Linked DNA regions of Drosophila melanogaster. The protein of the gene in region 1 purifies or fractionates together with the protein of each later gene. This does not show direct contact. Each region holds a gene or a part of one and is shown on either strand. Other genes may lie near its edges.

The links.
Region 2: the proteins of shf (region 1) and Pcyt2 purify together in Drosophila melanogaster (affinity purification with mass spectrometry, with the first as the bait; one large-scale study listed by BioGRID). This does not show direct contact.

The regions. Positions count from the first base shown.
Region 1 is NC_004354.4:6,769,217-6,785,162, forward strand, and holds shf (shifted), read right to left. Parts: upstream 10,444-15,946; 5' UTR 10,195-10,443; intron 5,747-10,194; 5' UTR 5,736-5,746; coding exon 5,345-5,735; intron 5,225-5,344; coding exon 4,967-5,224; intron 4,894-4,966; coding exon 4,699-4,893; intron 4,046-4,698; coding exon 3,845-4,045; intron 3,824-3,844; exon of another isoform or gene 3,730-3,823; coding exon of another isoform or gene 3,571-3,729; intron 3,508-3,570; coding exon of another isoform or gene 3,011-3,507; intron 2,885-3,010; coding exon 2,789-2,884; intron 2,719-2,788; coding exon 2,521-2,718; intron 2,444-2,520; coding exon 2,400-2,443; 3' UTR 2,247-2,399; downstream 1-2,246. Other genes in the region: sov (small ovary), read left to right, coding at 1-1,081; Coq7 (coenzyme Q7), read left to right, coding at 2,154-2,157, 3,011-3,507, 3,571-3,729; C3G guanyl-nucleotide exchange factor, read right to left, coding at 13,138-13,270, 13,345-13,476, 13,554-13,679, 13,747-14,316, 14,394-14,562, 14,674-15,338, 15,408-15,519. UniProt on the Drosophila melanogaster protein: Required for normal accumulation and movement of lipid-modified hedgehog (hh) morphogen. May act by stabilizing the interaction between heparan sulfate proteoglycans (HSPGs) and hh, HSPGs being required for diffusion of hh morphogen.
Region 2 is NT_037436.4:1,547,722-1,563,179, forward strand, and holds Pcyt2 (phosphocholine cytidylyltransferase 2), read left to right. Parts: upstream 1-5,771; 5' UTR 5,772-6,175; coding exon 6,176-6,289; intron 6,290-6,356; coding exon 6,357-6,680; intron 6,681-6,739; coding exon 6,740-7,447; 3' UTR 7,448-7,594; downstream 7,595-15,458. Other genes in the region: Pcyt1 (phosphocholine cytidylyltransferase 1), read left to right, coding at 3,073-3,567, 3,757-4,080, 4,144-4,905; CG12099 (uncharacterized protein), read right to left, coding at 7,848-8,282, 8,342-8,496, 8,551-9,993, 10,068-10,161; Pex10 (peroxin 10), read left to right, coding at 11,111-11,383, 11,438-12,064; CG7879 (uncharacterized protein), read right to left, coding at 12,462-15,276.

The DNA.
Region 1 (15,946 bases):
CGACCAGCCCTTCTATTTCCGCGTTCAGCCGATGCTGCTCTGCTCCGAGTGCAAGAGATTTAGGGGCAATGCAAAGGCACTTCGCGAGCACCTGCGTGCGACACACTCTATCCGGAGCATAGTGGCTGCGGACATTCGTCGACCGATGGAGTGCGCTTACTGCGACTACCGCTATAAAAACAGGCACGATCTTGCGAAACACATCAGTGAGATAGGTCACCTGCCCAATGACCTGAAGCACGTAACAGATGATGAAATTGATGCCCTGATGCTGCTCAGTGCCAGTGGAAGTGGTGGGGCTGTTAACGAATACTACCAGTGCGGATTGTGCAGTGTGGTTATGCCAACGAAGGAGACAATTGTCCAGCACGGCCAAGTGGAACACTGCAAGCCCGACGAGCGTTTCTGCTTCCGGCAGCTAGTGTCGCCAGTGATATACCATTGTTCCTTCTGCATGTTCAACTCGACCGATGAGCTGACTACGCTGCGCCATATGGTGGACCACTACAGCCGCTTCCTGGTCTGCCATTTCTGCACACGCTCTCAGCCGGGTGGTTTCGATGAGTACATCCAGCACTGCTATACCTACCACCGGGACGATATCAAATCCTTCCGGGACGTGCACACGTTTAGCGATCTGAAGAGGTACCTTAGTCAGGTGCATTACCAATTCCAGAATGGGTTGATTATCACAAAAAGCAGTCTCCGTTATACACGTTACAAATCCGACAAATGTATGCTTGAGCTAGACGCTGAGCTAATGGCCAAGGCCCAGCGGCCACCCATTCCGCGTCTGCATATCAGACTCAAGTCGACCGGCGTTCAGATGCAGAGCCCCGAGGGGGCTGATGTGGAGAAACCTGTGTCGTTGTTGCGGATCACAAAGCGACGAAAAACGCTTAATCCTGGCGAATTGCTCCGCTCATTCCGCGAGGAGAATGAGGTACAGCCACAGCCACCGGCCTCTTCAACATCGTCGGGGACGGCTCCTTCTCCTGCGGCAGGTTCTGTGTTCAACCTGTTCAAGCGCCGCAACAGTCTCGTTGTCCGCCCAGCAACCAGCAACTTGGATCAACACTAACACCACAACATTATTATAATTTTTTTTTTTTTTTATTTCTTCTGGACCCCATTTATGCATATTTCGTACTAGTTTCAAACTATTTAAGCATTTTTTTTTTAAACATAATTATGAGATCATGTTTACTACATTTGTAAGATCAATAATGATAAGATAGGACTCTAACTGACAACGGCTTCAAATAATTAAACTATTGTTTTAACTGAATCAATTCATGTATTCTGGTATAACATGGCAAGGAATAAAGATGGACATGAACTAACTCTGATGCCAACGCCGTCTGAAAGCTCAAGGAAGCTGGGTTCGGAAAAATCGAAATTGAAATTTGACTGCTGGAATCGTTTAGAACTTTGATACGAAAAGCATTTTGGACAATTAGAACACGCATGATAAGTAAGAATCGATTTTGTTTAATAAAAACGACAGTGCGTCTATCCCAAGACCAGCAGTGTTGTACATACCGGCTTCCTGTTTATCAATCAGTTACTGCGACACTTGTAGAGCGAATCTCATGGTGTGGCGCTAGCATCACGCATTTGAATCCACCGCGCCACAATCTCCTAGCGGGTAGTTACCCGGGACGATTGTGGTAATTTTCATTGAGATACACATAGAATCCGCATTTAATGCTTTATGTTGCATCTCAGATCAATCACATATGTATATACATATATGTATGTAATTTGTGAGTTGCGGCACAGCTGATTGCGTTACTATCGGCTATCGTCGGATGATCGGTCAGGGCTGCAAATGTGTAAATAAATTCGTAGTGTTTTTGATCTAATCAAAACCATAAAGTTGAGATGTTCTATGGTGTTGCTGCTATCATTAAAATAATATGAAAATATAAAATAAATATATGAACAGTTTGAGTCAATGGTCAATGGCGTGACTCACGAACGTGGTGCGATACCGGTGGCAGGCACGTGAGGATGGCCCATCCCTGGATTGGATTGCGCAAAAATAAACAGAACGCAAATTGTTTTTGTGCTCGGCAATTCGGCGAATTGCACTTTACCTAATAATTTATTTATTCAACACAATACATCTCGTGGAAAGCTGCAAATTAGCAATGAGTAAGTAGACTGCACTCAGTGGCTCACAACTGACCCTCGAAATCTTCGCTAGATCACGACGCATTAACTCTTAGATTTTGTTTTTATTTAAAAATGTTATGTTAAATTACAAAAAAAATGTATCACAATTAGAATTATTTTCGTTTCTTCCTTTTGTCGCTGTTGCTGTTGTTCTTGTCGTGCTGGTTTAGTAGAAAAGTGAAAAGTTGATTGAATATTTTGGATCGTGTGCGCCGGTAGCCCTAGAACTTGGAGTCATCGTTTCGGTGGACATGTCGTCGCTTGCCTGAAAACGATGAGATTAGCAAATTTTTATAAGCCCATCCTGATCACCGGACATTCCAGGATCAACGCTGCACTTACGACCGTTGCAGTGGCGTCCATAGAATCCCGGATGGCACTTGCAGTGCTTGTGGGAGACGCAGGTGCCATTGCGACACTTGCAGATGGAGCGCTGCTTGCGCCCGATCTCGCAGTGATCGCCTCGTAGTCCGTTGGGGCAGCGGCACAGGTTGTTCCCGATGCACCGTCCCTCGTTCTTGCAGGGGATCACACACTTGGCTGTGAGGGAAATGGGTGGGCAAAGGTTCAGTGTTTCGCCTCGATAAGAGTTGAGCCGTTTGCTACTCACAGTACTCGCAACGCAGGCCGTAGTAACCCTTGGAGCACTGGCACTTGTCCTTCTGTATACACTTGCCGCCATTCAAGCACTTGTCCTTGCAAATACCTGTTGATTACAATGGGATACTATTAGTTGCGCGCCAGGCACATTTCATTCTTATATAATGCCCAGTTATCTTGCCCCAAGTGTACTTAATCATCGCGTATCGTATCACCCTCCTTTTCTACGCAGATGGAATGCTGAGAAGAGGTCTTAGCCGGCCCGAGCCACGCCTGCTCTCCAAGCGCTATCTAAGCTCAGCAACTGGAGGAGGATCAGCAGGCACGACCGAAGGAGGCAGCTCTGAAACCACCCCGCTGCGTCCACGTCCAAATGCGCTCACAGATGAGATTATACGCGTCGATCATGCCGGCGAATTGGGAGCAGATCGCATTTACGCCGGGCAAATGGCCATTCTGGGCAACGGACCGCTGGGCAAGACCATCGGACACATGTGGGAGCAGGAGAAAGAGCATCGTAAACAGTTCGAGCAGCTCATTCAACAGCACCGCGTGCGTCCAACGATCATGACGCCAATTTGGAACGTGGCCGGATTTGTGCTGGGCGCCGGAACCGCCCTCATGGGCGAAAAGGCAGCCATGGCCTGCACGGTGGCAGTGGAGACGGTGATCGTAGAACACTACAATGACCAGCTGCGTCAGATAATGGAGGCACCGAACCCGGATAAGGTAAGTACCATTTGCAACTGCCCCAAGCAACGGACGAAGTAACAACGTTATATGATTTTGCAGGAGCTGTTGGCCACCATCACCAAGTTCCGGGACGAGGAGCAGGAGCACCACGACACGGGCATTGATCACGGTGCCGAGCAAGCGCCCTTTTACCAGGCCATGACCGAGGTAATCAAGTTTGGCTGCAAGACGGCTATTGCCATCTCGAAGAAGATCTAGGCTGAAACAGTTGGGCCCCCTGTATATATCAAAATCAAATTATCTGTTCCGCTAAGCTAACCGTGTTAAGCATTAAAGATAGAGCTAAATGTCCATAATAGTCGCGTCTACTTACCACCTTCGCACTGCGTGCCCTGGTAGCCCTCCGGACAGGTGCAGACGGACGGCGCCGTGCAGTTACCGCCATTGAGACACTGCGGAAAACAGAAGGCCGTCTCGCAGTATTGGCCCGTGTAGCCCACGTTGCACTTGCAGATGTGGTGCTCGTTGCAGTACCCGTTCTTGCCGCACTTCAAGCTGCATTCTGGATCGGGAGCTTAAGTTTTTTTAGTTTAGTTCAATCGTTCGCATGTCACGAGGCATAAACACTCATTTTAACACTCATTTGGACTCACACTTAACGGAGCACATCGGAAGCACAAAGAGGGGCAGGTTCGAGTAGACAGTGGATACATAGATCATAGATAGATAGATACAAAAGCGGTTGGCGTGGGAGCAAAGGGTAGATCGTATCGAATTATATATTTTTTGCGGGCTATCAATCAATAATTTACTATCGAAAAATTTGGAACAAATTTGAAGAATTTTCGAATTCAAGAATGAATGCAATTAAATTTACAATTTCATATAACATATCTCATAAAGGCTATATAGTTCCTTGTGACTTGAATATGTGATAATGTCATTAGGTAGTTACTTTCGCCAGATTCTCTTTGATAGCCCGAGTAATTTAGTGCTGTGGAAAGAGTGAAGAGCTGGGTGCAGGGGACTCGTGAAAAGCGACTACGTGGGGTAATGGAATCGGATTGAATCGAATCGAATGGAATGGAATCGTGTGGGCGGGGATGGCATGCTGGGATGGCGCATGGATGGCTGATGGGCGGAGTGTGCACAACATGTATGTATAATGCTAATTTACAATTACTATCGACTAGATAAAAGCATTGCTTGATATTTCATATACACTACCTTGCAAAGTTGTTAGTGAAGTAGGGTTGGAAGCGTCTATATCATACACACCTCTGTGGGCGCATTCCTTTTTGAAGTTGAGGCGAATGGGTGTGCCCGAGAGCGGCTTGTTGTGGCGCGTCTGGATCTTGAGGCCGACGTTGAAGGACGCGGTGCCGGAGCTGTTGCCGGTGCAGGGCAGGAATATGCTAAAATCTGGCTTGGGATGAGGCTTGGTTGCCGCACTCTGACAATCTTCGCCGCTGCCGCAGCAGCCCGCTCTACTTACTTTTCTGCTCCTGCGGAATGCGTCCGCTCTTGCGAATGGACAGCGTTGGCGCCTTCAAGATACTTTCATCCATGGTCTGCAGGCGGTCAAAGTCGTAGAAGTATTTGCGGCGCCCCGACTTCCATGTGAAGTTAACGTAGTTGACCTCCGATGGGATTACCAGGAAGTTGTACAGCGTCGTGTCCCTCAGATCATTGGTCACCCGGCTGTTGTGAATGGCGTACAGGCGCTCCGAGTAGCCCTGTGGGAAGTAGAGCGCTGTGGAGGAGGAGAAATGGTTTAATGTCCAGGTACGTCCAGGTACAATTTACCAACTTTTTTTAAGGACATATGCATATTTTTTTGAAGACAAGCATATAGGCATTAGCGACCACCAACCTGTAAGCATTTTGAGCTGCTGCTCATTGATCCACAACGAGATGCCGCTCTCCTCGTTGCGATTGTGCCGGCTTCCACCGCCTCCTCCGTTTCCGCCGCCGCCGCCGCTGCCTCCTCCTCCACCTCCCTGCTGTTTCTTTCGTTGACCCCGACGCGGCTGGTGTCCATGGCCAACGAAGCTGGCGTCCTGATCTGCGAAGTTGTCCAGGCCATCGCTGGTGTTGCCGTGGCCCTCCTCTGAGCTGGACGAGTCCGCTCTTCTGTTATTATTATTGTTATTCCGATTGTGGTGCTGCTGGCGACACTCGAGCTGGCCGATGCAGAGGAGCGTGTGCACGATCAGCACCAGATATAACCACTTGACCAGGCAGCCGATGCCCTGATGTGTCATAGTTTCCCCAGCTGGCAAAGCAAACCGAAACGGAGATTGAAATTAAAAGTAAACGTTGCCAGTGAGTGCATTATGGCCTGGCCAGACCACCCCCACCTCGCAACCAATCCCCGCCAAATATTGGATATCTGATTGCTTATTGCCGATCGCGGATTGCCAATCCCACACCCATGCAGTTTGTTTATCTTTTGCCATATTTGCAGACCCGCGATCTATTTGCGATTCGGTTTCGCTGCTCTGGACGAGGGAATTATCTATCCGCTGTAGGGGATTGGGCATACTCTGTGTGCTAGCACTTTAGATTTCCAGGAATAGTGCATATACATATGTATATGTACATACATATATATGTGATTGAATCGCTTAGGTTTTTTCACTGTCAGACTACATATTTTAACTCAAGAGTCACAAGTGAGTTATAAAACATAACCGAAGAGCGAAGTTGCCAACCAGCAACTGAAGTGTCCCCATTCCGGTGCATGGACTGCCCTCGGCGAAACCCCCCCAACCCTCCTCCCCAAAACCTCATTCAGCTTGGCCCGATTGAAGCGCTAAACGGCAGTCTCTCGAAATGATGCAGAAGTGAAGGAAGAGCAGGTACAAAGTCGTTAGCACTTTGCCCGGTGTGAAGTTACCCAAGTCAACGAGGGCCAACTCCAGCCAGCCAGCCAGCCAGCCTTGTTACACGGCAGACCGGACAGCCAGAAGCCAGACGTTTAACACGGCCAACAAGTGAACGGACAAAAGAGACCCAGTGATGACACTTTGACCTTTTTTCTTTGGCCATTTAAAATACAAATTCTTATTCAGATATCTTATCACATGAGTAAAAAATTCGCATCATCTAAAAGCCTAGCTTAAAAGTGGCTTTATCTGAGAGCAGGTTGGCTGGCTTTCACATTAAGATTTCCAATTTCCAATTCCAAGCTCTATAGGGCTCTGAAGAAATCACTGAGGAAACTCACAGCACCACTGACTGGACAAGCGATCGATCGAGCATTGTCCGTCCATGTCCCGTCCATCACGTATGAATGGGTTGATTCGAGATCCGGGGACAGGGCAAACGACGATGATGGGCAAGAAAACAAGTTAAGCTGTCTTAATAAGATCAAACATGGCGATTATGAGGAATTACTTGGAGATAATGACATCGTCCAGCGACTCAAAGGGCTCGGACTCTCGAAGATTGTGCTCTGGGATCATCGGGCAGCAAGACCGAAATCCAACTCCAAACTTATCTGCAAAACGGCCCCTGGGAAATGAATTCGTTAAGTGAACTAATTGCTCTTGTGGATGCCCAGCGTGCATGCATGAATATATCCGATGTGTATATCCAGATAGTAATTGAATCAGTGGTTAAGAAATCGTAGGCGGAAGTAATTCATGGAGCTGGCATATTACAACGCAATATAAATATATGTATGTAGAACATAAACGGGAACGTCATATGGCCATCACAGATTGGAATTGAAATTGGATTCGAAATCGGGATCGTGTGGGGATCTCGGGATCGGGACCGGGCCAGACCTCGATTTCCTATAAATACGATGTTCACGCTTTGTTTTGAAATTATTTTTATTTCGTGCTAATTAATGGTCGGTCGGCCGATAAGGAAGCACATGATGGCGATAGCCGGCACCGGCGCATAGATAATCCCACTCATGGTCAATCTAAGTCCGAATCAGAATTGGAATTTCCAGCTAAGGCGCATTCGCAGCGCAGGCTGAGGAAAGCTTAGTCAGCGTGCAATTAATAGGGAGATATTCATAAAGGTGTAAAGTGTATATATATAAACATATATATCTATATAAGCATTAACTTAACCCCTTTTCACCATTACACTGAGCAGTTAGCAAGCACTCAACTACTGTTGGACTGAAGAATTCGCGTGTCTGTTACTTTCCCTTCGTTTGGTTGTGAGAGGATCAGGTGCAGTGCAGGGAAGTGGTTATCAAACACCGTATCAGGTCGATGGAATGAAGATGAAGATGGCCATGCATTGTTAGTGCTGTCGTCAACGATATAATTGCTTCAGCTGGAGGAAAAGGGACAGATTAACATTTTAGCGTGAAAGAAGAGAGATGAGGAGATGGAGGAGGTGGAGTGGCAGTAGCAATCAAAGTAGGAACGGCAGCAGCGCAACAACAACAATTTGTTAGCTCTTTACGATTATTGCCTTTCTCACACCTTATTACCAAGAAAATAAAGAAGCAGCATCCACAGGGGCAACAACAAATACTCGACGATGAGACGTGAAAATAAAAAATTAAAGAACCCAAACACACACACAAGGTACGACAAAAGGCAACACAACGAGAACAAGAAGCTGCCCCTTGGAGTGGCGGAGTGGACTCGACTGGACTGGAGTGGACTGGAGTCGGAGTGGAGTGGGATCGGATGGGATGGGATGGAACTGAGACTGGAAAAGGAAGTGGGGGCGGAGGAGAGGCACTGGAAATCGCACACTCACAGCCAGCCATTAATGGTGTACTGCAGGTGCAAGCGAGAGGCAAGTTGTTCATAAACAATCCCAACGTAAAAAATGACATACACCGAGAAAAGAAACCCTATCGATTCCAAATTACCCATGCAGTAGTTATCCAAAACAAATGTGTCGAAACCGAGATATTACACAATATTTTTTGGATATCTTAGGCTTATTTTACAGATATATAAGTACATACGAATTTGCTCAGATCAGATATCAGGATCAAGTGCTTTGAAAATATCCAAACATATCATATGTTTCTCCCTGTGTAGTATAGAGAGTACAAGCAATTTGTTGACTCAAAAAGACAAAGTCATCGGCTAAAAGGATTTCGAATGAAAGAGCAAGCCAGATGAGCAAGGATGAGCGAGTGAGGAGAGTTACATACTTTCCCGGCTACCGATTTAAATGATGTCCAGTAACAACAACAACAACAACAACAGCAACAAGTGGCACTTGCAGCTCTGTTTGCTTAATGAAACAACAGCGACACACTCACACTGGCACACACAAAGTAACACCAAGCGACTGTGTGAAACACCAACAAAAACACCTTGGGCAAATAATGCAGACAGGACGGCCACAGTCGACTTGCTAAATACCCATCAAGTGTTTGGACATTGGCCAATTGGAAGCATATTGTTTCTTGAGCATTCATGTGTGTTTTACTTTAAGAAAAAGTAAAAGTATCTGTAGGAACAAATGTATCTACAAGATATTAAAGTATCTATAAGATACAAAAGTATCTATAAGATACAAAAGTATATATAAGATACAAAAGTATCTGCTGGATTTTAGTGCATCAGCTCAAGGTTATTATGCCTAATTTCTAAGATTATTATTTTCTCCGTGTAGGTCATAGCTGTGACACCTGACCTAGAGGGTGTTGGCCTATTCGTGATGCTCTAGACTGGCGCAGCCCATTAATCCTGGTTGCTACTCCTACTGATGATAACGATCACCAATTGAGTGGCAAAAGGGAGTGGGAGGAGGAGGGGTAGAAGTAGAAGGAGGGGAGCCAGACAACAGGCGGATAAAAACGCCTGTCTCCAAGTGGACTCAAGTGCCGCAGGAGGTGGAGGTTGGAGTTGGAGTTGAAGTTCAGGTTGGTGGACGCGGAGCTGGAGAGGGGGCAGCGCAGCGAGACACGCAGGCTGCCGGACAACCGGCAGCATGGGCATCAGGACAAGCAGAAGAAGCAGCAAAGTCAGAAGCAGAAGCTACTTGAGAGCCACAGAATTCCGATTCCGATGAGGCGATCGTGTGTCTATATGTATGCATGCTGGAGAGTCAGGCATTCCACTCCACTCCACTCCACTGCAGTCCACTTCATTACCAGTTCGCAGATCGCCGCATCCAGCATACAGCTCCAAGGAGCTGGCAATCAAATGGCCAACGTTGGACAATGACTTTCACGCCTTTCGAGCGCGCCAAAACGAACATGTCAAGTACAGCCGACCAGCGGGCATCCCAGATACCCTACATACCTCGGTAGCTTTGGCACTTGGGTATTAGTTTTACGACAAATTTTCGAATAATCTTGGCACTATCAGTTTAGTTTCGAAATGGCCCAAACTATCATTCCGTTAGGGGAAAGTTAAGATCAAGAATCTGCCTGCGAAAAAGTTATATTCGCTAATTTAGCTTATCTGTTTTGGTTTTATATCTGTGCACTTCTCACATGCAAAATTCTGCCCGTTTTCAATTGCACTTAAGCCTACAATCTGGACATCAACTCTCGATCTTTCGATCAATCGAGCAAGGTGATTTGAATGGCCAGGTGAGATACCCATTGATATGGGTAAAAAATATGCAAGTGCTTTCGCACTTCAGCGGTTTAGTTAGTTCTTATCACAAAATTGCGCTAGTGCGAGATTAAAACTCTGCATGTCTAGCAATATTTTCACAACAATCACATAAACTTAGGATCACAGGTTAGTTTTCAATTTCAAATTTGCACACTTTACGTACTCGTTGGCTGTCGCCGGCTTGAAACAAAAAAAAACAAACAGTCGTTTCGTTGACAAAATACAAGGGTGTAAAAAACAAGTAAAGCTTGATTTGTTGGTCCTTTATGTTCCGATTTACATGAGCCTTAAACTTTGCACGTATTTCGTTGGCTCGAAAGCTCCTTTGGGGCTTGAACACAAACGCGAAAAGAGTCGGTTTCGACACTTGAAAAATCCCGCAAAGTTTCGTGGCGCGACCGTCGCACTGCAGCTCCTGAGCTCATCTGAACAAACCAACGAAAACCGGCGAACGTTTCGATCGCAGCGCAGTGATGCCCGCTCCCTCGATCGGATCGCTCTGCTAAAAAGAAAGGAAGAACACATGACGCTTAATTGCCAAATTCCCCTTAAATTCCCATCGAATATTAAGTATTAATGAAATGACTGTCATAAAATTAGGCGCGTATAGAACTGTACAATAAATTATGATTATTTTGGAAAATTGTTGATAGAAAGTACGTACCTTCCAATGCATTCGTTGAACTCTACAAACCAGTTGGCCATAGTTTATTTATACAAAAGTGCTTCTGAGTATTGGTATTTGGTGAGGACATAAAATCTAATGGCGCTTTGTATTGCACAGAAAAAAAAATAGCCAAATTGGCATCACTACTGCGGTTGCCTCTCTCGAACCTTCAAACAATTCTCTCAAACCGCTTCAAGCCGCAACCTCGCTCTTAAAAGCATTAAACAATTTAAATTTAGTAACTGCTTCTTTGTATCAAAGGCAGATTGTTAATTGTTTAAAAAAATGGGTTAAATAATTAATTTGATTTTTTTCCCAAAACATCGTCCGCTACAAATGATCGATTTTTGGCCAAAGTTCATACCCAGATTTTTGGCGATATAAATCCTATATATACAAAATTAAATAATTGTCATTACGCTCTGTTATAAATGCGAATGTGTCTGTTTACAAGTCGTACAAAACAGTGCCACTCTTTTCGGCTAAGTTATTGAAAAAGCCCATTCAAAATTATTAAATTTTTGAAATTTTTTGAAAAATATAATCAGTTTTCTTTTGGATAGCAACAAAGAGAGTTGAACAATATTAGAATGCCATGCCCCACTAAACTCAAAATTAAATTTCCCATTTAACTATATTTAAACATGGAAACGGTAATTTTATCGAAAATTTCGATGACTTACACCCTTATCGAAAATGCGAACATTTTTATTTCGAATTTAAATAGTCATATGTGTTTATTGGCCGTACAATAAGGAAAAATCCTATTTCGACAATTGTTTTTATTTCAATGACTTCTGGAAAGCAACGTAGCCCATGTTCCTTTTCCCCAATAAAAATGCGTTTTGCAGATAAAGGAAAAATACATTGATTGTGGTAGCTATTTTCATTCTTATGAATACACACATAACATTTAAATACAAATACATTTACAATTGAAAATTTTCTCTACATATACAAAATATTTAATTTAAAAATAGGTGAAAAAAAAAAACAAGAATAAATTGTTGTCCCTAGGTTCGTTAGCTTAGTAAACACAATTGATGCGCCAGCGGCAGCGGAAGCAGCAGCAAAAAGAAGATCGAATTCACTCAACACAAATTAAAAAAAAAAATTGACTTTTCTTTTTGTTTATTAAAATGGCTATGGTGATCGGGAATTAAATTCTTCAAGTAAGCAGCCTTTTTTTCTGTTTCCCATTTCTAAATAAGAAGACATTATTCTCAGACGAGACAGAGTATTGCTTAGTAAAAACAACTTGAGGTCGATTTCATTCAGTTTTAACTCTGCTTTCAGATTTCTTCTCATGATTAATATTTTTACACGCAATATCAATAAATTTATTCCTCACAGAATTGAAAGGAGAAGTCAAAGCGTTATTTAGAACTATTATTACATGCCCATAAATATTTTTAATGTTAGTCGTACATTTAAAAGCAAATTGAATTTAGTTAATCTCTTCCACAGGTTCCTCGCCTTTTTTGTTTTTTTTTTTTTTTTTGTATTTTTTGTATTTTGTTTTGTTTTGTAACTTTAAAAGTTTCTTCAATTAATTGAGTCGCAAAATGAATTTTTGATTGATTTCATTGATTGATTGATTTGATCGATAGATACCGCCTTCTGTTTTCTGTTTCGTGCACTCTGAAATCTCTGATTTTGATTTTGAGTTCAATTTCAATTTGAATAACTTCTAACACACATACACACACACGGGTATTTAATATTGGTTGTTTGGAGAGAGAATTGCATATAACGCGCTTTGTGCTAGGGTTCGCTTGGTGTTCTGCTCGTGGATTGCATCGATTTATAGTCCGAGATATCGCTACATATATCGTCGAATATAGTTTGTCGGTTGGCCTCTACGTTCACGTAGCTTGCTTTCAAAATTCGTTGTGTTCTTGTGTAAAAAAGAGATCTCAAAACAAAAGCGAAAATTGCTGATTTCTTGATTGGTTGTCTCTGGTGGTAAGTAAGTTAGTTAGTTAGTTTGGTGTTCTAGTGCTGGCAAAAGTCCGGGAAAAAGTTTTTGGGACTCGCAGACAGGGATTCGGATTCGAATATTGGTGGGGAGTTAGCTGAGGTTAGGTCCATCGACCCAATGACTCATAGAGCTTAATAGTTAAACTACAGATCGGCTCGTTATTTGTACGCGGCTACATGTATCCGTATCCGTATCTGAATCGCTACATCTTAAGTAAGTATGTATATGTATTTCCGATTCGGCATCGGCTGGTAATTACAGCTAAATATCTTGTATAATTGTATATATATAGACAGAGAATAGCGAACATTATTGCTCAGACCCATTAGAATAGTTGTTGGCTGCTCCCGATGCTGATCCTCCTCCTAGACGTGGCAACCGTTTTGAACTGTTTAATTAATACGGTGTATATACTTTATCATATATAATATTGGTGTTTTGCTGTTGCTGCTTGAAGACTAATAGTTAACGGGGCGGCGTCCACGCGGCTTGATCTTCTCCGATATCTGCCACATCTCCTCCTCGCCCATAAAGTCCTTGAAGTTATCAAAGAAGCGTATAATGCGCTCGTTGCGTCGAAATGGATAGGCACTGCAGCAGAAAAAGAAAATTGCGTGAAGTGAAGTGAAAGAAGTGATTATAATTGAATGAAAATTGATAATTACCATTTCTTAAAACGTTTCATGTTGTCAATTATGTTGTACTGCTGCCAGCGCTTGGAGAAGTTTATGACGCCCTTGGACAAGTAGTCCTGGTTGCCCACATGCACAAACGTTAGATCCTGCAGAATTAGGCCGCTGGAACGAACGAATTGATAATTAGCTTTGGCTTTCGTGATTCTAACAAAAAAAGAAACATCAGATCAGATCCTTACATGTAGGGTATGCAGGGCGGATTAGTTTCGGCCAGCGCCTGTCGATAGGCGCGAAAACTGGAGCTGGAATCGATGAGGGCGCAGAATGATCGCACCTCCTCGGTGATGCCTTTTTGCCACTCCAATCTGCAGGACATGGTATATCAACATATCAATGGTATATCAATAGCTTCAGTGGGCCAGTAGAACCTACCTTCTTATGGGACCCGAATCGAGGGCCGACAACAACGCCAGATACGAGTTGTAGTTGTTCATCTTGCGTAGATGCTTCATGATTTTGATAAACTTGTTCACATGCTTCTCCCGCTCCTTGGCATCCTGCAGGCGCAGGATTTTGGAGCGCGCCCAGTAGGACATCTTGTTGAAGTGCTCGGTGAACTTGTTTAGGTTGGGCGACTTCTCCTCGCACTGATCTTTGGCAAATAGTAATACTTCGGGTATCTCGATCTTCGTGAACAGCTCCGCATCCAGCAGCGTCATCTGTTCGGCAATCTCCAGCGACTTGAGGTCGAGCAGACTAGGCTGGTTTCCACCACCAGCTGTACCACTGCATCCACCACTGCCGGCGATTCCTGCTCCGCCGACACTACCGGCTCCGCCCAACTCCCCAACAAAGCCGTACACCTTGGGCTCCTTGTACAGCGTCACCTTCTCCACGAACTTGTTGCGCAGCAACTTGGCCAAGTACAATTGCCCAGAGCAAACCAACTGATAGACGAACTCCACCAGCAGGCTCAACAGCTGGCTGGTTAGATCCGTCGACCTGCATGGTGAACAATGAATGATAAGCGGGTATGTACCAACTTAGTTTATTCCAAAAATGGTGGTTAGGCAACTCACGTTAGATCGTTGACGACTCGGACCAGCAGCGCAAAGGTCTCCTTAGCGGCCTTCTGCTTGTTGTCCTGCACTTGACAGAAGAAGTATGTGTAGCGATGGGTCAGCTTCTCGATCACGTCGATCGGCTGGATGAAGGTGCGAAAGGTGGTGATGAAGGCCTCGCAGAATGCTGCACGAACGGAATGAAAATGGACAGAGACAACAGAGGAGTTGGGTAAATGACCATGCGAACGATATTTGGTATGTTTTTGCTGCTTCTGCTTGCGCTGCGAATGCCTACCATTGTCGGCGACCTTTTGGACACGGCTGGCGTGCACGATGAGGGCATCGATGTAGCCGCCCTTCACCTCGGGCCCGTCCTCCTCTCTCTTCTTGAGTATCAGGTACCGTGTGATGTTGACCTCTTCCAGCATGTTGATCAGCATATCCGCTCGCTCCGCCTCCTCATCCTCGTCGACGTTCGCTGGCTTAACCGACTCGTGCACAGCGACCAGTGGTCGGGACTCCGCCGTTGGCTCCTCCTGCTCCTCGAGCACTTGGGGCGTGGTTATTGGCTGGTTGTCGGCACTGCTCGCATCCTCGCTCATCTCCATTTCGGCGGCGGGCAACTGATGTGAGTGACAGTAGAAAGTCTGTCCATCATCGACGGCGCTCACATTCTCATTGCTGTCCAGCACGGGCGAACGGGGCTCCGGCATCGCATCCTCGCTGGCCACTGCATCGTTCAGCTCCTCGCATACGGTGGCCATCCGGCTGTCCGGCCTGCCCGTCGACCCATTCTCGCCCAGCGTCGGCTTCGGACTCGGCGGTGGCGTGGTCACAATGACGGGCTGCAGCGTGGGTGATGCTACCATGCTTGTCGCCTTGCGCTGCTTGTAGTTCTTTGGCGGCAGGGCAGGTGGCATCTCGAGCTCCGGCGACAGTTCCTTGCTCATGGGCATAATGCTGTAAAGGTAACAAAAAAATAAGGTTAGTACCGCCTAGTAACTACTAGCTACACACAACTTTACTCACTTCATGGTCTGGCTGTGCGAGATGTTGCGACTTATGTTGCAGGCGTGCATTGTGTGACGATGCTGCTCAATGGATCGCGTGGACGCCGAACAGATTTCCATGTACGCCAGAACTGTGTGCGGTAGGGTAGGGAAGATGAAATCGTTAGCAACTCTTACGCTTCAGTGGCGGGGGACAGAAACGAAAACTAAGCCGATCGATCGATCCTTGGACCCACATCCCGAAGGTCTTTGTCTGTTCACCAGATCTACAGGAATCGCAACATACAACACAGCACAACGAGTAACAGGACTGGATAGTAACACAGAGCAGGAGCTTTCGGGGCTTTGGACTGGAGATACTAGCTCTGGACGGACACAGCGGGTTAGGCGGAGCGAAATGGAAGCCACAGAACTGTTGCTCAGTCCATGTACTTGGGACTAGAAACGGAAACTGCAAACAGGTGGCTGTTCGGGCGTCAAGTCAATACGAATGCGGCGCAGCAGCAAAGTTATTAGCAGAGCAAGAAGCCAATAGCGAACTCGAAATGCTCTTTCCAT
Region 2 (15,458 bases), on another chromosome or scaffold:
AATAATTATATCAACCATTAAGGGTCAATTACGGTTACATTTTTAGAACGACTTGCTTTTGTTCTTAGTGTAAATTTTCCATTTGTGTAAATATTTGCAAAGATTCTCTATGTTTGTTGAGTGCTTTTGAGATAATGGAAGTGGTTCCAAGGATTTTATTTACTAGAAAATACTATTAAGCAGCACTTTATGGCCAGCTTCTTCAAAACTATATTATAGATTTAAGAACATGGCTTCAACTATGTATTCATTTATTGTATATGATTGAAGTAGTAGCAGCTAATCACGTGATTTAATTACGATCTTGCTAGTAGTTTCCCACATTCCCCGATCGCAGGGTTAGCCTGACCTCTGTCTGAAGAAAATACGTACGATGTGTAGTCCGTAGAAGTGTATTATAATGAAATAAGTCCGTGCTGATAGCGAACTTGGCCCGCCATACGTTTTGCCAGGCTGGCAAAGATCAGGCGGTGTGATTGTCAGACATGCAGGGTGTTTGTCGAGTGCTAACCATAATTAAAGGCGAATTTGTCTTATCGCTGGAAACAGTGAAACATGGCTCGTTTCCGCCAAACGCATTTATCGTGTTTCCAGATACCCGCGATTCGCGATTCGAGTGCAGCGGAAGCGGCCGTCAGGCGCAGAAATATTGTTCTTCTCCGAGATAAGTTAGCAGCAGGTAGTTCAGGGGATCTTATCTCTCACCTGCTTTTAGTGCCCGGCAATTTGGGAATCGATTTTACGGGTTCCACACTTGTCCACTTCAAATGGAAATCTCCCCTGGCTTTGTTTACGTTTGGATTCGCTTCAATGGAGGTGGCACTTCGTCACCACAGTTTAAAAGCCAAAGTAATTACAGTAGGCACTCGCCAGTGAGATTAGATATGTTTGACTTGCTTTGCTATTACTTAAGATATTTGTTTCCAAAAATCATCGTGATACGAATTCATTTATTATCGCAAATTGTTAAATCACTTATATTTTTAATCTAAACTAGTGGCACAGTGATTTGAAAAAAAAAGAAACTATAGAAATCGTGAGTCATTACTGCTATGTTTTCAGAAAACAAAGGAAATCCTAGTAATTATTAGATTAAGCAATCAAGGAAACAACATAACTTTTGTCATTATTCATATTTTCATACATTTGAAGAACTGAAAGGTTTCTTATAGCGAGCAGTGACTGTAGATCGTACGACTCTGACTTATGACGTACGACAGCTGAAGATTGCCGAAGGTGCCCGAAATTCGACTTGGCAACAGAATTAGCATGTCCACGGGGAAGGTACAATAAATTCGTTAAATTTCAAACAGCGCTTACATCAGATCCGAAATTATTCAGAAAATCTCTCGGATTTTATTTTTATGGCTTGAACTTGAACTGTAAGCGGCTTCCAAGTGACTCACGTCCAAGGCAAATCTTGAACACAAAATCAAGCACTCTGCTCCCCTTTGGAGTCGCCAGGAGGGACTCCTCCAGATAAGGTGTAGAAATCTCTGACGTATTCCCAATGCCAAGAAATATGCAGACGCTATCCACACACGTAGATACATATGTAAATAGGCATGTGTGCCACGATGAATAAACATGGGAAATCGTCTACCTAAAATTATTGTTAGCCACGCACGAGACAGCTGACCGCACAGTGGGCCTATTTACAATATTATCGAAAGAAGCATTTAAAAAATGAGGAATTTCTACTTTTTCTATGACGTATTGTATATTTATTATGAACAATTATGTAGTTCCAAGCAAATGCCCCAAAATACGCAATGCTAATTATGTACATATGTGCACATATGACGATCTTGTTTAATTATTTCGCACGCAGCATCGTTTTTTTTTTTTGGCACAAAAACTGATTTAGAACGACCTTCGGGAAATTCGTCATTGAAAATTCCCGGTAGCTGAAATAATATGTACATATGACTTAACTAATCCCAACTGTAACTTCCTGCGTGCTGCTTTTGCTGGGTGTGCCATGGAGCACGAGAGGATTGGCGCCCAGCTCTCGGGGGGAATGGGTCATCGTGTCCGGCTCACGTGTTCCGTCTGCACTTGTTTACGTAAAGTGGCGCTGCATACTCGGAACTAGTTCTGCGCTGGGTTGGCCGCCCACCCTGCTGCCTTCCCCGCCAGCGCTTCACTTGCTCATCATCCCGCTCCTATCGAGAGTACTACGTGTCTCTGTATGTCTATTATTACCGACACCGAGCCGTGTTGTTGTTTACCCGCTGTTTCAGTTGCGTTTTTTTTTTCTGCGGAATTTCTCTGGTGCGATGCGCGTGGCGAATTGAATCGGCCATTTGGCAATTAAAACTGAAATCGATTTGGCCGTGGCTCAACTTCGAAGAAAAGGGGCGTGGCTGGGGGCGCGGGGTCAGGTGTCACGTGTCGTCAGCGCAAAACAGTCAGAACTACTGCCACCCGAGTCATAAATATTTGGGTTAATGAAAAGGGAATATCTGATTACATAAAAATGGTTTCACAAGAAAGTATCTTTCCATTAGCTGCGCGAATGTGTAATATATTTTTGCTTATGCACCAATGCATTAAATTGTAGTTCAAAAATAACTTTGTTTATTTCGAATTGTTTACTGCTTTATTGGATTTTATTTATAAATTGCTTGGTAAACAAGTGCATATGTGTCGATTAAACAAAACAAGAATACAACTTGTGTTGGTTCATTGAAGTAAAATTGTTATTCCTTTTTGAGAAAACTTATTAACCCTTTGGCTAAAAGTTACAAGTTGGAGTGGTGGAAAAATTGGCAAAGGGAAATTTGAATAAAATCCAGCGAATGAAGAAATTTGATAAATGATGCTTGCAACTACATATAAACAGAATGCAAAGCTAACCAAATGCGGTTTCAAAGAAAAACTTTATAATTTCATAAGACTAAATGTGATGTAAACGAAACGTAACACACAAAATATGGGAAAGTAATGTAGAGCATTGATGGTAACCAATCTGTTTCTCGATCTCTTCCAGCTGAAAGTCAATTGAATCTCTGTTCCTCCGTCACCGCGTCGCGAAGCCGTTAAAACTGCCGCTCCCAAACATTCGCTGCGATGGCCACCTCATCGATACTCGCCAAAAGCACAATTAATAGCACATCGCCACCGGCCACGCCCAGCAGCAGCGCGTCCCCCGGCTCCACACTGACCACCCGGAAGCGGACCTACGAGATAGCCATTGCCATGCCCTCGTCCACCGCCTCCAGCAGCGCCACAAAGGTATCGGAAGTTCAGGATCAGCGCACAAACAGCCCCGGCAAGTCCAAGAGCAGGCCCGGCCAGCTGGAGAGTGTCTTGGTGGTCGGCGAGGGAGCCAGCGAGCCCACCACCTCGGCCACCACACTGCGGGACAGCACACGCACCATCTCACAAAGCGACGCCGACGATGGCGGCGAAGCGGCAGCCGCCGAGGACCTGCTGCCCCCACAGTCGGATTACCTCAACGGCGTCAAGCGGAAGTACGTCCCGCAGCAGCAGGCGTCGCCGAATCACCGGGTGGTGCCCGCATCCACCTCGCAGCAATTCTTCAGCGGGGCCTCCGATTTTGCGGTAAGTAGTCAAGAGTTAGGATGCAAAGTTAGTCTAAATCGTAGTAGCTGAAATCGTTTGAAATTGATGTTCGAGTCGTGAGTCGTATATTTCCGACGATGTGTGATAAGATCGAGAAAGAATGTGTAGACCAAGGACACAATCGTCCAGTTGAATAGCCCAACTAATCGGGAACTTTTCTTCCTGCAGACAATTTGCAAGCCGGCGCCCTACTCTCACGACGAGGAGGCCATGCTGGAGCGGGATAGATGTGACTACACTCAAAGGATCACCTACCAGATGGCCCGCTCCGGACAGACGACCCGCAGGGTGAGGGTCTACGCCGATGGCATCTACGATCTTTTCCACCAGGGCCACGCCCGCCAACTAATGCAGGCCAAGAACATCTTTCCCAACGTGTACTTAATTGTGGGCGTGTGCAACGACGAGCTCACCCACCGCATGAAGGGACGCACCGTGATGAACGGCTTCGAGCGATACGAGGGAGTGCGTCACTGCCGCTATGTGGACGAGGTATGTTCTGCCCGGCACTGATTAGAGATCTTTCAGTCTATAGCATCTTACTCTGTCTTGCAGATCGTCCAGAATGCGCCATGGACTCTGTCCGATGAATTCATCGCCGACAACAAAATCGACTTTGTGGCCCACGACGACATTCCGTATGTAACCGATGGCATGGACGACATCTATGCTCCTCTCAAGGCGCGCGGCATGTTTGTGGCCACGGAGCGCACTGAGGGTGTGTCCACCTCGGACATCGTAGCCCGGATCGTCAAGGATTACGATCTGTATGTGCGTCGTAATCTGGCCAGAGGCTATTCGGCCAAGGAACTCAATGTGTCGTTCCTGTCCGAGAAGAAGTTCCGGCTGCAGAACAAGATGGACGAGCTGAAGTCGCGCGGCAAGCGCGAGCTGAGCAAGGTGAAGGTGGACATCATCACCAAGTGGGAGGAGAAGTCGCGCGAATTCATCGACACCTTCCTGCTGCTGTTCGGACGTGAGAACCTGAATCATTTGTGGAACGAGTCGAAGGGCAAGCTGCTGCAGGCACTCAGTCCGCCGGGCAGCCCGTCGGGATCAGTGAACGGTGATGACACGGAGGGCGGCGAGGACTACAGCGAAACTATTGACGAGTACTTGGAGATGGCCGAGAAGTTGAGCGGGGGCAGCGGCAGCGGCAGCAGTGGATCGCTGAACGGCAAACAGAGGCCGAAGCAGAAGCGCTCCTCGCTGGCCCGCCGCAGTTACCAGAGTCTGCAGAGCCAATCACCCGACTTGGAAGCGGATGGGGACGAGGATGCGGATGCGGATGCGGAGTACGAGCGTCGAAGCAATTGATTCTATTGCGGGGCAGCCCGATCTTTTCTTCTTCTCTTAATGTCTTTAATGCTATTGTAAATGGACTTGCTTGCAACTAGTTCGACGGCACACTATAGATGCCCCAGGATCGCCACGCAGGCTCCACGAACACACACTTATATTTACTCTAGCCCTAAGTGGTATTGTAATCCCAATGTTTTAGTTGGCACTCGTTCTCCTCCTGCCTCAACTCCACCTGCCCATCTCCATCTGTGAGAATCGAGGGAATCCTGTAGCTAATTTAGCTGTGTGTGTGTGTGTGTGGGACAAGCAACCACCAACGCGGAAAAGACTCATTTTTGTATTAGGCACTCGACGGACTGTGCACGAAATCAATCGGCAGTGGCGGCAGATTCAGGTGCCGAAAATATCTAGAAATATTTATATTAAATTATTTCGCATAACATTAAACTAAGTTAACAACACCGCAACCAGAACACCAACCAATATAGAGAAATCCAAACAAACAAATTACGAAATACATTCGGAAAATGCAAAAAACAAAAACAAGTAATTAGTAACAGTTGGCAATAGCGGAACTATTGCAAATGCTTTGTTAAATATTTTTTGAAAAATAAACATTGAATCGAAAGGAAATAGAAGTAAAGCGAGTGGCTTGTGAATCAGTTTGCTATCTCATACGTTTATCCAGCAATTGCGCATCCGATTCAGCAGCCATCCATGGCACTGCTGGAATTCTTGAGCGCGCGCCACCGATGATGATGAAACCGTTTGCCTTGATTGGACACCCATTCCCTCGCAATTAGCTGCCCATTCACCGGCTTGAAGCGGTTCACTGATTTGTTTAATGGCGCTGCGGTTTATATATAGATGCGCACCCATCGCCTGATCGAATCGGCGGACCCGTGCCAAGTCAGGCGACCGACCCGTTGCTTCCTATTTGCTTGCGCCGCAATTTGCGGCAATTGAAGATGAGCGATGAATCCGAGCCAGAGACTTGGGCCTGAGACTGCTAGAGCCGCCTCCAAGTCGTGTGCCTCGCCAGCCGCTGGACTCAATTGTATTGATTCGCCACCAGTTGCCGCCAATTTATTCTGATCGCAGCTAGTGCGCAGTTGGGGACATCTCTCGCTCAAAGTCTCGGACTCAATCCTCGACAGAGTAGACCTAGAGGGTTATGCCGGTTCCGTCTCAATTTATGTAATCAGTCGTCCGGATGAAATCCCCTTGAGCGGACCACTAGTGCTGTACTTAGTTGTGTATACTCGTACATATATTTTTATAAGCAATGGACAGAATGCCGAAAGAGGACGACGAATCTCCAGTGTCGACGGCTCCTGCCACACCGACATCGCCGATGGAGTTTAAGATGCTACCGCTCTTTATGGACTTTGAGGATTTTGTAAGGCTACTCCTTAGAGGAACAGGAGTTGCCACATACTAATCTCTCTACCCCAAAACGCCTCCAGAGCATTTGCCAGCCTGCTCCTTTCTCGTACGATGACAAGGCCATGCTGGAGCTCGAGAGATGCGACTACACACAGAGGATCACCTATCATATGGCCAGAGCTGGGAAGACGACGCGCAGGGTGCGGGTCTATGCAGATGGCATATATGATCTGTTCCACCAAGGCCATGCCCGCCAACTCATGCAGGCCAAGAATGTGTTTCCCAACGTCTATCTCATCGTCGGCGTGTGCAATGATGAGCTGACCCTCAGGATGAAGGGACGCACGGTTATGAATGGATTCGAGCGCTACGAGGCGGTGCGCCACTGCCGCTACGTGGATGAGGTAAGTGTGTTAAACTGAACCAATGAAATGTTTCTATACACTTTTCGATCCATCACAAGATCGTTCCGAATGCTCCGTGGACGCTAAATGAGGAGTTTATCGAGGAGCACAAAATCGACTTTGTGGCCCACGATGACATACCCTATGGAGCTGGCGGAGTCAACGACATATATGCTCCACTCAAAGCGAAGGGAATGTTTGTGGCCACGGAACGCACTGAGGGCGTGTCCACGTCGGACATTGTGGCCCGAATCGTGAAGGACTACGATGTATATGTGCGCAGGAACCTGGCCAGAGGCTACTCAGCCAAGGAGCTCAACGTCTCCTTTCTCTCCGAGAAGAAATTCCGTCTGCAGAACAAGATGGACGAGCTGAAGACACGAGGCAAGCGGGAGCTGACCAAAGTCAAGGTTGACATCATCACCAAGTGGGAGGAGAAGTCGCGCGAGTTCATCGATGCCTTCCTGCTCCTGTTCGGCCGGGAGCGGCTTAACACCTTCTGGAACGAGTCCAAGGGCCGAATCATTCAGGCACTCAGCCCACCAGGCAGTCCGAATGGCTCCGTAAACGGTGACGATCCAGACGCAACAGACGACTTAGACTCTGAGGATGAGTACATGGAGCTGCCACCAGACTACGGGTCTGGTAGTTGCGTATCCCTTAGTCGAAAACAAAAGCGCCCTGATAAGGTGAATGCCTCAGCAAACCTCAATTACTCGGAGCAACCAGAGCATAAGGATGTCGTAGACGAGCGACGCAGCGACTAAAGACGAATTTGGCCTCTTCCTATCAATTAAAACATAAATAAATATGTTTGAAGTTTAATGGAACAGCGCAGTAGGCACTTTTATACATATTTAAAAGAGCTACCAGAAAAAGTATGCGCTTAAAATACATTCCGATAAATTTCAGTTAAATTATGAATATTTCTTTTGGCAAGAAAGTAAAAAGGCGTTTATTTGATATTTTACTTGCTGCCTTTATTGGTTATCTTATGTGTATTGTGAATATAAGTTGGGTTAAATTATAGATTAGCTGAATGATTTTCCAAATCCTCTTCAATGATAGAACAATCGCATTTGTTATTTAAAATAACGTTGAAATATTCGCATAAAAACAAAAATACAATAAATCTTGTAACTTCATAAGCGATCATCATCTAGCTCTTCATGGAGCTCTGTTCATGCCCGTGGCGAACAGGGGAACCATCTTCTTGCCCTTGGCCTTCTTTTGCTTCTTCGATTCCGCTGGAGCTGCTCCATTGGATTTTGCTGCTCCTACCTTTTGCTTTTTCTGGTCCAAGGCTCCAACTAAAAGTTCTCCCAGACCCCAGTGGCCCACAGATCGCTGCTCAAAGTCCTCATCGCTGGTTCTTGGGACCATTACAGCCCGTGGCGGCGGTGGAGCTGAACGGCCCCAGGCGCCCACTTGAACATCCAATGGCGCGCCACCACCTCCAGGAGAATTACTTCCAATAGTGGGCCACATCTCCTGCTTGGGACTTCCCAGAGTGACACTGGAGTATCGGGAACCGGGGTCCTGGTTGCTGATGTTCATGGGCACAGAGCCACTGGGAGCGGGCAAAGCCTCCTCGAAGCCGCACTTTAGATAAAATATCACATATTAATAATTGACACTAATGGCAGGCATTGCTAGCTCACAGTGGGAAACTCATGGGAGGAGCTTAGGTCAAGGTTAGCTGCACTGGCAATAAGTTTGCCCATCTGGCGGTCATTTATCTCGTTGATGTGCTGCTCTCGCTTGCGCTCCTCGCGATCCCGACGCTGTCGTTCCTTCTTACGATGAAGAATGTCCTCTGCGGAAGGAATACATATAAGCATAATGCTGTACATGGACCTAGTGGACTTACCCTTAAAGAGCTTGAGTATTCCTCCAGTGACCACTGGCGGCTGCAATTCGACTTCCACAACCGAAAACTGACAAGTCAAAGGCAAGTGGCCAAGACAAGTGAACTTGCGTCGATGCTCCTCATCCATAGAGTGCTGTTCCATCTGCACGATTTGGGCTTCGATGAGTAGCGGACCCAAGTCCAAGGTGCCGTAGCAAGCCTGAAGCATCTTCACGTTCAAGGGATGCAAGTAAATATTCTGTCCGTCGTTTGACTGGTAGAAATAATAGTATTTATTATGGTTGCTCGAGTAGCTAAGGCTGCTGGATGCTTCTCCCGACGAGATGGAGGCATCGTCTGACTTCTCAATATCAATCTTGGTCTCGGTTTCTAGGCAAAGTACAGGTGCTGTCTCCTCTTCATCCTCTTTCGGATCAGGTTTCTCGACACCCAACTTCTCAACACGCTCCTGAAGCATCACCAGCGCTTGCTGGATGAACACATCCTCGGGACAGGAGACATCCGATTCGGCTAGCAGTTCGTTACGCTCCCTCTCGATGATGGCGGCCACATCCATCCGCTTGGCTATTAGAAACTTTGAGTAGCGTTTAGCCTCTTCACCAGCGGACACAAAGGGGAAACGTTCAATTGTTTCGCCCAATCCTGCAACATGATTTTCAATGTACATGGAGCCCTTGCGACGCCGCATCAACTGGAAGGTAATCTTCTCGCCCACTTGCAAATCCCTCAGCTGTTCGATGGTGCAGCTCTTCAGATCTCCCGCGTGGATGGCGTCATAGCAGATAGGACACTTGCGCCAGGTCTTGTCGCTCAGCGAGAGGTAGTGCAGCAAGCAGGGCCAACAGTAGGCGTGTCCGCATCTGGTGAGCTTGGCAGCCACAGGCGGGTACAGGCAGATGGGGCACTGCAACTCCTCAGTGGTCTGTATGTTGATCTGCTCGATGTAGCTCCAATCGATGAGTGCATCCGGCGAGCCATTAACCTGAGCCTTTGCACCCGATCTAATGACGAACTGAAAGTTGGCCTGCAGGAACTGCTCCTTGTTGTAGCGCTGCTTTCGGCCACTCAGGCCGTGGTGCTGTTGGGCCTGATGGTGATGTCCTCGCTCCAGTTCCCTGGGCACGCAGTGGAAGTTAAGCAGATGGTTCAGATTCTGCTTCTTGCTGCCCTGTGTATACACAGAGTTCAGTTCATGGTCAAAGTCACCGCTACGTGAGTAGCCGGTGGCGGAGTAGGCTAGTCGGGAGCTGCCTGAAGCCCCGTCCTGGCCACGGGGTGAAGGGAAATCGTAACCGCCTCCAAACCCGCGAGCCTTCGGACGCTTGTCCACATTGGGACGTAGCTTTGCTGGCTGCTGTGGCTGTTGTTGCTGATCGTTGCGCGGTGTGGGAACCTGATTCCTTCGACGGCTGTGTCGCTGCTTGTTGCTGTTGGTATGTAACTCTGCGGAGGAGAAGGTTGCACCAATATTAAAACCTTTTCGGGATATAAAAATATCAGGAGAATGGAGCACCCACCACTGGACTTCCTTTGCGATTCAGCAGACGAGGACTTGCCATGATGAGAGGATTGAGGCTGCTTCTTGCTGTTGCTGCTGTTGTTGCTGTCCATCGTTGTGGATACTGGAGGTGCACTTGTCTTGGGGAATAGTAATAGTATGGGTGCTGGACAGCTGCCAGTGGGCGGCTAATTGCGTCTTGCCTAGGTCTCCACACGGAGTGCGCTGAGCAAAGTATTCTCGTTGCGGATTCATGTTTACTGAGCCATGATTATCCAACGGGTACGACTAGAAATAGTACTTGCGTAATATTTCCAAAAAATCAAATGCGGCTTTTGCGAGTAAGTGCAGTTAAATTCGAGGCGAAAGTACTTTTTTAAGTACTTGGACTTGCGGCTCGATTCTTCTTCTCTTTTTCTAGCACTTGTTTTGTTGTTCTATTAGTCTGTGGGTCGTAGTATTAGTAGCTGTAATCGTATTGGTGCCTAAAAAGGTGTGACGTCTGCGCTAGCTGCTCTTTGCGGGTCCAAAACCGAATCTTTCCGACAATTACCACTTGCCAATTGCACACACACTGCCGACACACGGTCTCTGCTATCGCGGGGTTTCGATTTGACGTCTCGAAATCAACAAATTTTGATGGAAAAACCAAATATCCTTTGGTCAGGGAAAAAAAGCATCCGTGATGCCCGATAGAAAATGGCTGACTGTAAGTGCTGGAAAGTGCCTCGCAGAGAGCTGATGGTGTGCTTTGGTATGGTCGTGATTCGTCAGAGAAAACTATCGCACAAGGTAATTATATATAATTATAATGTCACATTGGATATTTAAATAATATTAAAGGAAATACTTTTTTTAATTTAATACTTCGTATAATACGTTTGAAGTGAGCGGAGCTGTGTTGTGTAAAATGTGCTGTTGCAAGTTGCGTTACCGATGTTCCTAGAAAGTGTCATCTCAATTAGGCAAAAGTATAACAGCTGATTTTGTTATCTGAGCCGCACTTTGATCGGCCTTTGAATAAGATATGTTAGAATCAACATTGCAGTAACCCCCAACGACATGGACTTTCGGAACGCCCGCGCCCGGCAGCCGGAGATCGTGAGATCCGTGCAGAAGGATGCACGGTACACCAACGAGCTGGCCGAAGACTTGTCCGATGTCTTGCGCCTCACCGGTCCACGGAACTGGATAAAGTACAACCAGATGTGCCGACTTCTGGCGGAGCTCAGTTACCACGGATTCGCCTCGGCCAATAACCTTCAGACCCTCGGCGAAGAGTACACGGGGATAATACAGGTGGACGGGAACTATAAGCAGATTCCCAGCAGATTGGTAAGTAAAGAATACTCGAAAAGAAAACATTTGTAAACGTCGCGCATCTTTTAGTTACAACTGATTGCCATTGTCCTGGAGTTTGGTGGCGACTCCCTGTTCCAACGATTGATGCAAAAACTTGACACCTACGTGGCCAACAATGACGAGATTCGAACCGAGATCAAGCCGCAGCTAAAGAAGATTATTCAGAGGCTCAGGCAATCTCCCAGCTACGTAAAGGCCCTGCACAAGTCTCTATTCTACTTGGACGCCAGCAAGTACCAGCTGTCCAAGCGCACCACGGGCATCAACTACGTACTAATCCGTCACTGGCTGCAGCCGGAATTCTCGCTGTACGGCTACAAGATACTGGGCGTAATCACTTTCCTGCAGGTCAGCGTTTCCTTGGCCATTAGTGGATGGGATGCCTGGAGAGAGCACAAGCGCCAGCAGCTAGAATCAATAAAGCAGGCTGGAAAGAATTTCCTGCAAAGATCTTCGAGTACAAAGGACGTAGATCCAAACACCCCACAGTGCATCCTTTGCCTGGAGCCACGTTCTGACAGCAGTTTGACTCCATGCGGCCACATCTTTTGCTGGAGCTGCCTGCTCGAGTGGCTGGAGGAGCGGGATGAGTGCCCCTTGTGCCGGGAGTCGCTGAAAAAGTCCCAAGTGATATTACTGCAAAACTATGCCTAAGATTGGATTAAGACTTTTTATATTCATGTTATAGGAAGTATTTTTGTGTCTATGTAATATATTTTATTCATATAAATGAAACAAGTTTTATTTATTTATTCACAATTTGTAATGTCAAAAAAATGGTATAAATCTTCAACTTAAATTACGTGAAGTCTTAAAAAGACTAAAGAAAGGATGCACAGAAACAAAATATAATGATACTTCATCGTTGATGTTAATGATAGTTTCCCAGTCGCTCGCTGGGTTTTGTATGCTTAAACGCATTTCTTACACGGTTTATTCGATTTATTTAAACAAGTTTATGTACATGCTGCTTATATATATAATATTTTTGGTGTCTGGCTTAACATTATCTATTTACATTATACAATTATTTGGGCTCTAAGCTCATTGCCTAGATGATATCCAGGTAGACAGTGCGGTTAAATATCTGCTTCTTGCGGCGCGATTCGAAGGCAGACCTTGCCTCCGAAGGGGACTCGAAAGCGACGCGAGTGTCGCCGGTGGGTTTGCCTTCATCATTGAAACGCCTTATAATGTCATCCGGGCTAAGCTTGTAGTCGCTAAAGAAGCGCATGATGTCCTTTAGCTCCGCCTTGAAAGGGACATTGCGCATAGCCACTACGCATCCCGGCCGATTGAACTTGTCCGGGATTATGGATGTGGGAACGGGCACCGGAGAGGTTGGCTTGACTTGACCCTGATTGCTGGGCGAGAGGGAGCTGCTGCTCAGAGGAGGATCTGGTCGAGCGAAGGGATTGAAGTGCTGTTTAACGGGTGCGTTCGAGCTAGTGCTGCTGTTGTCCTCCCTTTCCAGGGATAGCGGTCGATCCTGCTGTTGCGATGGCTGTTCCTGCGGCTTATCAAAGCGGCTGGGTCCTCGACGACGAGACGGCTGCGCACTGGCTTTATTTCCACCTGCACCGTCATTCGCATTGTTAGTTTCCGCTTTCCTGGGACCATTTCCACCCGGCAGATAATCCATGAAGGGCTTTTTCATCCTATCAGCGATTTCCTGGGGCGTGATGGCCACCACTCGCAGTCCCCTTCCTCGAAAGCGTCTATTGTGGAACTCCCTGATGGCCAGTTTGCAACTGGCAGGATCACTGAACTCCACAATAAACTCGCCGGAGCTCTGGTTGCGTTCATTGAAAAGCTGTTCGATATGCTCGATTCGTAGGTGCTCGAGGGAAAACAGTTCACCCAAATCATTGGCTCTCGTGGCGTACTCGCAGTTGTGGACACGAACGAAGACATCCTCTTGGCGGGGTCGCTGGATGACACCAGCGCCTCCATTATCATTTGGATAGTTGGGTCCGTTCCCATTGGAATTCCCGTTATAGTTATAGTTGTTATTCATATTGAAGGGAAAGTTATTGACACCGTTCTGCTGAAGCGGCGGCATGTGGAAGGGCATGTTGCCACCATTGACAAAGGGAGCCATCATGTTGGGACTCATGTTGGAATTAAAATTGGGTCCCATATTCATCTGTTGCTGCTGCTGCTGATCTTCCGCCTGGCGTCTCCTTGGATCAGCGGCGAATCTGTTGGCCTGAATATTCTCATTCTCCTGCTGCTGCTGCTTCTGTCGCCTTTGCTGATCTTTTAGGAGCTCTTCCCGCTGATCGGCTTCCTCCTTTAGCAGCTGCTCATTGGCTCTTCGTTGCTTCTCCTTGGCATTCTGCATGTCCTCCTCGCTGCTGGATCTCACTCTCAGCTGGCGGAACCCTATATAGTGCTTGCTGGTATCCTGCAGAGCAGAGTCGGCTTCAGCTTCCCTGGCAAAAAGGACAAAGGCAACGGATTCTCGTCGATTTTTTGGACTGGGGCTCAGTAGGATGTCCACAACGGTATAGCTGGCGGAGAACATCTTCATGATATCTTGCTCAGTGGTGGTCTGTGGCAAATCCTCTATATAGAGGACATTGGTAACGGGTCTGGGAACGGGAACAGGTGCGCCACCGCCTCGTTCACCTCTGTCACCACCATTATGATTGCCATGACTCCTGCTGCCGTCCTGCCCCTGGCGACTAGCACGTTCCTCCGCCATCTCAAACTCATCGTCGCCCACGGGAACAATCTGAATCAGGCGATCTCGAAACATTGTGTTATTCCGCTGCACTGCCTTTTGGGCACTGGACACACGAGAGAACTCCACGTAGGCCACTCCGGTGCGACTGCCATTCACCATCATGATCTTGATGCCATTGTGCGGAATGTACATGCCCTGGAAGTACTTGCGAATATCGCTGTACGACGTGTTTTGGCACATGCCACTCATCCGAATGTAACAGGTGTCCGCAACAACCTGGGGCGTGCTGCCTCCGCCCGGAGAGCCACCCATGGTGGGCGACACTTTGGCCTGTGTCTGTTGCTGCTGGAGTAGCATCTGCTGCTGCTGGAAGAGCTGCGGGTACATCTGGGCATAGGGATTTACGCTGGCAAAGGCAATGGGCTCGCTCTCGGATTTCGAAGGCTGCGCTGGAGCCGCACTGCCGCTGGACACCTGCTGCAAAGCGGTCAGTAGCTGGACACTGGTAGCACTTGGTTCGAGATTGTAGTTGTTGGTCACATTTGTGGTGGTCGTACTAGTGGTGTAGCTCTGTAGAGAGGGTATCTGCGGCAGATTCAGGTTCAAGCCCATGTTGAGACCCAGTCCCACAGCTGGCAACTGATTCTGAGGTGGTTGCGCCCATGGAGATGGCAGTGCACCACCGCCGGCAACCATTTTCAGCTCCCTTTCCTGGCTTTTATCCAACCGGTCGGAGCGACGTTTGCGACCTCGTTCCCGTTCCCGTTGACGATCCCGCTCCCGCTCCCTATCGCTATCATCGGAACTGGACGATCTGCTGCGACTGCGGCGACCTGTGACATCAGAGAGCGTGATCCCCGCCTGCTGTTGGTAGGTCAGAAAAGAGGGCACTGTCCCTGTGGCCACACCCTTGACTTGACCTTGACCCAAGAAGGTGTTTAGGCCCCCAATAATCGGAGGCAGTGGCGCAGCCGGACCAGCCACCTTTGCCGCCGTAACGGGGACGACAACGGGCATAGGAACTGGAACCGATACTGGCGCTTGAGCGGACGCCGCTTTCCGAGCAGTCTCAATAACCTTTTGCATCTCGGCCCGCGAGGATAGCAGCAGGCGCACCTGGATCTCCATTAGTTTCTCGCGATCCTTCAGCATTGCGCAGCGGGCATCCTCGTCGGTGCTATTGGTTTGTAGAAATTGGGGAAAAAAAAATCAAAGGCGAAAAATCAGGGGTGTTACATAATAAGGGTGAGGGCAATATCCCGAGCAGTTTTCGAGAATTCGGCGTGTTTAATGGCCCCATATTTGTCATCAGCCAGCATTTTAGGCAGTCAAAATAATAGCACTTTATGTATATTTATT